2 linked regions of the Yarrowia lipolytica genome follow. The protein of the gene in region 1 interacts with the protein of each later gene in a pairwise test. Links are inferred from orthologs where the notes say so. Each region holds a gene or a part of one and is shown in the gene's direction. Other genes may lie near its edges.

The links.
Region 2: the proteins of YALI1_C07451g (region 1) and YALI1_E14316g interact in a two-hybrid assay, tested with the Saccharomyces cerevisiae proteins (2 studies listed by BioGRID). The link is inferred for Yarrowia lipolytica from reciprocal best matches to the Saccharomyces cerevisiae genes PEX13 and AMD1.

Annotation. Positions count from the first base shown.
Region 1 is NC_090772.1:743,209-747,125, forward strand, and holds YALI1_C07451g (uncharacterized protein), read left to right. Parts: upstream 1-1,927; coding exon 1,928-3,166; downstream 3,167-3,917. Other genes in the region: YALI1_C07423g (uncharacterized protein), read left to right, coding at 1-219; YALI1_C07481g (uncharacterized protein), read right to left, coding at 3,553-3,917. UniProt on the Saccharomyces cerevisiae protein: Component of the PEX13-PEX14 docking complex, a translocon channel that specifically mediates the import of peroxisomal cargo proteins bound to PEX5 or PEX21 receptors.
Region 2 is NC_090774.1:1,428,253-1,433,629, reverse strand, and holds YALI1_E14316g (uncharacterized protein), read left to right. Parts: upstream 1-2,020; coding exon 2,021-4,741; downstream 4,742-5,377. UniProt on the Saccharomyces cerevisiae protein: AMP deaminase plays a critical role in energy metabolism.

The DNA of each region.
Region 1 (3,917 bases):
CCCGCCGACGTCATGGTCTCCAAGGTCAACAGTGAGCAGAAGCCCGGCGAGTCCACTCTGCAGACCGTGGAGCGAATCTACAAGCGAATTGGTTTCAAGGGTCTTTGGAACGGTCTGCCGGTGCGAATCTTCATGATTGGTACCCTGACCGGTATGCAGTGGCTCATTTACGATACTTTCAAGCTGTCGGTCGGTCTGCCTACTACTGGAGGTCATTAACGAGCTCAACATTGCGAGATGCGAAGCAGTGACCGTTACTTGGGGGGATTTGAGTGAATTGGAACGAGATGCCCAAGTGACTCCAACTGCTACGACTATAATAGAATGGATTATTAACAGGAACGTGTATTAGACGTGTATGAGAAGAAGAAAGACTACAAGTAGAAGAGACGAGAGACATGAGACCTGACACCTTCCAGTACAGTACATACAGTACCGCCTCGCGCATTTGAATCCAACCCCTGTCCGACCCTCGTCCAAGCTCCAACCCTTGAACTTGATAATGGAACTCAATGCGGTGCCAGGCTCTCCTTCCACCGTTGACAGACGTCATAGTACCTGTTTTCTGAGTCCAAAGACCAAAAGAGCAACCATATCAGTGTCAAAACAGTGGTATCAACTTGATTCCTCTCCGTCCTAGCTCTTGAGTTGGATGTAAACGCGTCTTGGAGCAAGTAGAGACCAGATTACCGATCCAGTCTCTAAGCCTGGGATGAAGACATTGCGCCGAGAATCTCCTAGATCCAACTTGCAGTTTGCAGGATCTTGAGTGATTACTACAGGTAGTCTTTCATCTCCTCATGTTGCTGAAGAGATGGCGGTTTCTGACTCCACGGAGGAGCTGGAAGAATCCGAGCCCGATGCCATGAATGCGACAGTCTCTAGAATGGTTGTACAGATTAGGACATTCATCACTTCAAGTACTCGTACTTGTACCCGTACATTGATTCACAAGTCGAACTCCGACATACTAATTAATTAATTAATTAATTAATTAATTAAATAAATTCTATACGTGCAAATACGAGTGTACCCTTGTACTGGGACTTCAGGTGAATTTGTACCTCACCGTCTTGTGTATTTCACCATCTTCTACGTCACTGTCTTCACATTCTCTCATTCCGATTTTCCGGTTTTTTTTTCTTCTTTTTTTTCTCTGTTTTTTTTTTTCCATTTTTTTTTCGCCATTTTTCAATTTTTTTTTAAATAATCCGGTGCTAACTTCTGAAACTGGTGGCAAAAAGTTAGGGTTGCTTGGAGAGCAAAATCGGATTTTCCGAAAAAGAAACATGCAAAAAAGACTCGCCCCTGATTGGCCAGTTCCCCGATTTCGCACAGAAACCACCAACTGTCCAAAAGTGCTGGACCGCGCCTCGAACCAACGCCTCGGTGTATGCACGGCCGTTAGTTACCCTACACGGTGCACCCCGCCAACGTGATTTTTGCCGAGGTAAACGTGGGGAAAACATGCATGAAAATAAGGTTTCCCACTCTTGTGAAAAAGTAGAGAGAAAAGAGGGAGTTCTTGGAGGCGTTGAAGGTGGAAAAGGGGGGATTTCACGCGGAAATATCACCCATAAAGATCACGTGATCCCAACAGAGGTTCCGGCTTCTCTCTAGGACCGCTGCAGCTCGTTCTGGAGACATCTGTTCTACAATGTTCTCAATGTCAAAATCCAACGTATAAACCCTAAACTACCACTTTCGTTTGAGTTCACCCTCCTCCGAATCTCTCCACAACTTTCTCCCTTGTATTTGCACAGTCTTTATAACTGACGACGGGACACTTCAAACTACGAGTTACAGTAGACAAGCGACACAAAAACAGCAGCTACGACGACAGCGACACAAGCGACACAAACACAGCTCTCTCTCAAAAACACTACACAACACTACACTACACAACACAACACAACACAAGGCAAACATGAGCGTGCCACGACCAAAACCATGGGAAGGCGCCTCTGGCTCTTCCGCAGCCACCGCGACACCGGCGGCAACAGCCACCCCGGCCTCCACAGACGCCGTGTCGTCTTCAGCCGGCAGCGCAACTGGAGCCCCCGAACTGCCGTCTAGACCCTCGGCCATGGGCTCTACCTCCAACGCCCTGAGCTCGCCTATGGGCTCTAGCATGAACTCGGGCTACGGAGGCATGAACTCGGGCTATGGCGGCATGGGCTCGTCTTATGGCTCCGGCTACGGATCATCATACGGCATGGGTTCGTCGTATGGCTCCGGCTACGGCTCGGGACTCGGTGGATACGGATCTTACGGAGGAATGGGCGGCATGGGAGGCATGTACGGCTCTCGATATGGAGGCTACGGCTCGTACGGAGGCATGGGGGGATACGGAGGATACGGAGGTATGGGTGGCGGACCCATGGGTCAGAACGGTCTGGCAGGAGGTACCCAGGCCACATTCCAGCTGATCGAAAGCATCGTTGGAGCCGTGGGTGGATTCGCGCAGATGCTCGAGTCCACCTACATGGCGACCCAGTCGTCCTTCTTCGCCATGGTCTCTGTTGCAGAGCAGTTTGGCAACCTGAAAAACACCCTCGGCTCGCTGCTCGGCATCTACGCCATCATGCGGTGGGCCCGCCGGCTGGTGGCAAAGCTGTCTGGCCAGCCTGTCACCGGTGCGAACGGCATCACTCCTGCCGGTTTCGCCAAGTTCGAGGCTACTGGCGGAGCGGCGGGTCCCGGAAGAGGTCCCCGGCCCTCGTACAAGCCGTTGCTCTTCTTCCTGACGGCCGTTTTTGGTCTGCCTTACCTGCTGGGTCGGCTGATCAAGGCGCTGGCCGCCAAGCAGGAGGGCATGTACGATGAGCATGGCAACCTGCTGCCTGGTGCCCAGATGGGAATGGGCGGCCCTGGTATGGAGGGTGGCGCCGAAATCGACCCTTCCAAGCTGGAGTTCTGCCGGGCCAACTTTGACTTTGTGCCCGAGAACCCTCAGCTGGAGCTCGAGCTGCGAAAGGGCGACCTGGTGGCGGTTCTCGCAAAGACAGACCCCATGGGCAACCCCTCGCAATGGTGGCGAGTGCGAACTCGGGACGGCCGAAGCGGATACGTGCCGGCCAACTACCTCGAAGTGATTCCTCGGCCTGCGGTTGAGGCTCCCAAGAAGGTGGAGGAGATTGGCGCCAGTGCCGTTCCCGTTAATTAGACATGATATTTATTGCATATGTAAACACACATACTGGTGCGACTGCCTTGCACCGTTTTGGACGCGTAGATGGCGACGTAATCAAATGCACCCACTGGTTGCACTTTTTGAATACAAACTGAGGGAGATTGGTGGATCTACAAGTGCCTATACGAGCATATCTAAAGGCATACGATCAGTTGACCAACTTGTTGGTCTTCTGGTGCAAATCCAAGCACCTGGATAGATCTACTGACATTCCAACCGTCAGTTGTGTAGTATGCAATAAATATTTGTCTATTTGATTCGTGGTCATTGTCGTTGTCGTTGTCGTTGTCGTAGTCGTTGTCGTAGTTGTTGTTTTCGTTATTCCAACCTCTGTTCACTCCGTTCACGGGGCACTCTGTTCACTTCTTCTTACCGCCCTTCTTCAATCTCTGCTTCTGGGCAAACCCGACCATGTTCTCCACAACAGCTTCAAACGCCTCCTTGTTCTTGTATCCCAGCGCCAGCTTGTCTTCCCATTGCTTGAGCAGCAGCTTGGCCTCGGAGTTGGCCGTCTTGAGTTGGTTGACCAGCTCCTGAAGCTCTTCCTGCTCCATTCGTTCCCGCTGCTCGGGCCGAATCTCCACCAGCCGTAGCCACGAGTCGAGCTTGAGCTCGGTATCGACCGTCACAGGCGTCTGGGCACGTGACGAGTCTGTAGGAGTCGGGGTGGCCGCTCGAGAGCCGCCGGGGGGCGTCTTTCCATCAGTGCTATCTCTTGACTTGG
Region 2 (5,377 bases), on another chromosome or scaffold:
CCGTAAAGTGGTTTTACAGAGCTACTTGGACCGATGTTATCTAAAGTTATTAACCGGCGTTTCCAACTTGCAATTCCATCTACAGTAATATTTTAGTCCACCTCATTCCAAGTCCTTCTCTTCGTTTCGTATCTATACACAAGAACCAGCATGCCGTGCCATTTATTTGCAAGGTGACGAACTTTACAAGAACTATATTCATCTTCTCCAGACCCCGGGTTTCCATAGAACAAGACCAGTTCACTATGAGTCGCTCTGAAGACGGAAGGTGCCTTTAATGCCGAGCTGATAAGCACAGTCTTTCACGACAAGGACACAGCCCCAAGTGTCAGGGTCAAGTCCATGAGGTTGACCGTTAATGAGTTGAAACACTCCATGAGCAATGGACAAAAAAGTCGCCAGATTATCGACGGGAGACTCTAGGGTAGAATCCCTGTTGATATACTCCTTTTCATACTCGAAGGTGGAGTCCCGGTTTGAGAGAGCCGCCTAGATACTGAAGAGCAAAGCAGATGACCAGTGCCACCAGTGCTGAGTTGCTAGAGCAAAAATCAGCATCGACAGACGGTTGCAGGGTCAAAAGAGCAATAAGTCAGAGCCAGGCTGTAGGAGCTGCAATTGATCTGAGAAAGAGCCAGTAAGTCCAAGAGCAACAAGTGCCAATGCCAGAACACACAGACAGAGCAAAGAGCCAGAGAAATTGATCTTAGGCCTGCAAAGACTTCACTGAAGGAGTAGGAGTCGAACCTCACAGGAGGATGGGGCTATCCAAACCTGTATATCTAGTTTTGAGAGGAGTATGCGAAAATCCGAACCTCTGGGTTACTGTAATAGATTCAGGACCATGGAGTCCGATATTGAGATTGCATTTGTAAACTTGTAGGCCTGCAGAGTATAGGTATTTGGTTTCTTTTTCTTGGTATAAGACATGAGTTTGATAGACTGATGAGTGGTATATCACCAATACTGGAAGAGGTTGTCTGCAAGCATCCCTTTGGTATCGATCCTAGTTGCCACTTGTTACAGAACTAGGTGGAATATAATAAGAACGTGTTTTAGAAGAATTACATGTAGTAGTGCGCTCACCGGACTACAGAGCTTGATACTCATATACAATAGCCTCGACTTCCACATCCATCTGTCGAAGATACTGAAATTAAATTGACGCAAATCATAGGAGTTTAATCGTGCCGCTTGTCCTGCTCGATAGCTTCCACAAGATGAATCTATGGATCATTTTTTTGAACACAGAAAGGGATGAACAGGAAATGAAGACATTGTCGCATGTATCTATACTTAGTAGCCCTGGGTGGTGCCAAGAAAGTACCACTCACTGATCAGGAACTAGTCCTGTCAAGGTTCAAGCCAAGTCCGATTTAAGCGAGAATGCAGGTGTATGAAACACTTTTCTGAAGTCCGTAGTAGCCAGTGAATGCACTGAATAATGTAGCATGGTATATTATCGTTATAAAAAATCTCAATTTTCAGAATCCACCAGGTTATTAGCCCCTCTTTCCCCCTTCCTCCTCTCCGACTACCCCTGTTTGTAGTTTCGAAGCATCTCCTTGGTCGGGTTTCACTTTGACGCGAGCTACTGTCTCTAGACAGCTTACTATTACAGTAGAAGTACACTAGACTACATACTCGTATCTCCTTCTCGCTGTGCTACTTGTACTTTTGTCAACTCGGAAATGCTACTGACTATGCACCTTCAACATAGTTGCCCCATCCATACCAACTCCGCCGTCGCCACACGCCCCATTGTTCCATCACCATCTTCCATCGGATTTTCTCCAAAGCTTATCATCTGGAGCAGTGCTGCATTGATGACAGACTCTGAGCTCCACCCTGAACAACTTGTGGGGCTGGTATTCATTACCAAGCAGTCAAGCATGTGACTAACGTATCAATCTACAGAATACAAAAAAGCTCCCTAAATAAATAGTGCTCTCAATCCACAAACACTTGCGCCATATAGCACTTGTACCCCATCGCACTCGCTACTGTCGCTTAAACCCTGATGAAGTTTACGTTGCTGTGCATGTTGGAGATAGAGCCGTTGGAAGGACCCGCTAATTCGTTTGATCTTGCTCCTCTCCACACTACACCATCACGACATTGCCTCTGTACCATGCCGCAGCAAGCAATGGATATCAAGGGCAAGGCCAAGTCTGTGCCCATGCCCGAAGAAGACGACCTGGACTCGCATTTTGTGGGTCCCATCTCTCCTCGACCTCACGGAGCAGACGAGATTGCTGGCTACGTGGGCTGCGAAGACGACGAAGACGAGCTTGAAGAACTGGGAATGCTGGGCCGATCTGCGTCCACCCACTTCTCTTACGCGGAAGAACGCCACCTCATCGAGGTTGATGCCAAGTACAGAGCTCTTCATGGCCATCTGCCTCATCAGCACTCTCAGAGTCCCGTGTCCAGATCTTCGTCATTTGTGCGGGCCGAAATGAACCACCCCCCTCCCCCACCCTCCAGCCACACCCACCAACAGCCAGAGGACGATGACGCATCTTCCACTCGATCTCGATCGTCGTCTCGAGCTTCTGGACGCAAGTTCAACAGAAACAGAACCAAGTCTGGATCTTCGCTGAGCAAGGGTCTCCAGCAGCTCAACATGACCGGATCGCTCGAAGAAGAGCCCTACGAGAGCGATGACGATGCCCGACTATCTGCGGAAGACGACATTGTCTATGATGCTACCCAGAAAGACACCTGCAAGCCCATATCTCCTACTCTCAAACGCACCCGCACCAAGGACGACATGAAGAACATGTCCATCAACGACGTCAAAATCACCACCACCACAGAAGATCCTCTTGTGGCCCAGGAGCTGTCCATGATGTTCGAAAAGGTGCAGTACTGCCGAGACCTCCGAGACAAGTACCAAACCGTGTCGCTACAGAAGGACGGAGACAACCCCAAGGATGACAAGACGCACTGGAAAATTTACCCCGAGCCTCCACCACCCTCCTGGCACGAGACCGAAAAGCGATTCCGAGGCTCGTCCAAAAAGGAGCACCAAAAGAAAGACCCGACAATGGATGAATTCAAATTCGAGGACTGCGAAATCCCCGGACCCAACGACATGGTCTTCAAGCGAGATCCTACCTGTGTCTATCAGGTCTATGAGGATGAAAGCTCTCTCAACGAAAATAAGCCGTTTGTTGCCATCCCCTCAATCCGAGATTACTACATGGATCTGGAGGATCTCATTGTGGCTTCGTCTGACGGACCTGCCAAGTCTTTTGCTTTCCGACGACTGCAATATCTAGAAGCCAAGTGGAACCTCTACTACCTGCTCAACGAGTACACGGAGACAACCGAGTCCAAGACCAACCCCCATCGAGACTTTTACAACGTACGAAAGGTCGACACCCACGTTCACCACTCTGCCTGCATGAACCAGAAGCATCTGCTGCGATTCATCAAATACAAGATGAAGAACTGCCCTGATGAAGTTGTCATCCACCGAGACGGTCGGGAGCTGACACTCTCCCAGGTGTTTGAGTCACTTAACTTGACTGCCTACGACCTGTCTATCGATACCCTTGATATGCATGCTCACAAGGACTCGTTCCATCGATTTGACAAGTTCAACCTCAAGTACAACCCTGTCGGTGAGTCTCGACTGCGAGAAATCTTCCTAAAGACCGACAACTACATCCAGGGTCGATACCTAGCTGAGATCACAAAGGAGGTGTTCCAGGATCTCGAGAACTCGAAGTACCAGATGGCGGAGTACCGTATTTCCATCTACGGTCGGTCCAAGGACGAGTGGGACAAGCTGGCTGCCTGGGTGCTGGACAACAAACTGTTTTCGCCCAATGTTCGGTGGTTGATCCAGGTGCCTCGACTGTACGACATTTACAAGAAGGCTGGTCTGGTTAACACCTTTGCCGACATTGTGCAGAACGTCTTTGAGCCTCTTTTCGAGGTCACCAAGGATCCCAGTACCCATCCCAAGCTGCACGTGTTCCTGCAGCGAGTTGTGGGCTTTGACTCTGTCGATGACGAGTCGAAGCTGGACCGACGTTTCCACCGAAAGTTCCCAACTGCAGCATACTGGGACAGCGCACAGAACCCTCCCTACTCGTACTGGCAGTACTATCTATACGCCAACATGGCCTCCATCAACACCTGGAGACAGCGTTTGGGCTATAATACTTTTGAGTTGCGACCCCATGCTGGAGAGGCTGGTGACCCAGAGCATCTTCTGTGCACTTATCTGGTTGCTCAGGGTATCAACCACGGTATTCTGTTGCGAAAGGTGCCCTTCATTCAGTACCTTTACTACCTGGACCAGATCCCCATTGCCATGTCTCCCGTGTCCAACAATGCGCTGTTCCTCACGTTCGACAAGAACCCCTTCTACTCATACTTCAAGCGGGGTCTCAACGTGTCCTTGTCATCGGATGATCCTCTGCAGTTTGCTTACACTAAGGAGGCTCTGATTGAGGAGTACTCTGTGGCTGCGCTCATTTACAAGCTTTCCAACGTGGATATGTGTGAGCTTGCTCGAAACTCGGTACTGCAATCTGGCTTTGAGCGAATCATCAAGGAGCATTGGATCGGCGAAAACTACGAGATCCATGGCCCCGAGGGCAACACCATCCAGAAGACAAACGTGCCCAATGTGCGTCTGGCCTTCCGAGACGAGACTTTGACCCACGAGCTTGCTCTGGTGGACAAGTACACCAATCTTGAGGAGTTTGAGCGGCTGCATGGTTAATTATAAGCATGTACTTGTATTGATGTAATAGATGTTATTAGAAAACAGTAACATGTATTGTTTGTGCGTGATTGGGCGTCAGAAGCATCACATGATGGATTCATAGAACGAGGGACATTGTCTGAAACTCAGTAGACATTTTCCTGATGCAATGCACCTTTGAGATATAGACAGACTCCCGCTCTCAACTGCTTCCGCTCTCAAGTTCCGCTTTCAGACTCTTTTTGGCTGGGTGAAAAAAAGAAGGGAGAAAACTAAGCTTGCAGTTAGAGTGTGTTGTATTAGCCACTCAGACTGTAGGGTGGGCAATGTATGGTCGTAGTATAGGAGAGCATGATATATCATACAGTGGATCAAAAACACGAATCTCAACTTCCCCTCTCCATTCATGATTTCCCATCTTTTTCTATTCTCCATCTCCATATCTCGCCCATCTCACACTGTTTTGCTATCTGGTCTCATTCAACACTCATTTGGTACGATTGAGAATGTTAATCTCTCGTATAAGGGCTCTGGGCGCTTTTGCTTGGCAGCTAAGACGTGGGTGGCCGACTTTCTCCCACCCTTTTCACATATACCCTGGGGTTTCCGGGTTGTCCTGGTGATGTAAGGGTATGGGGAAAATGAAAAAAATGG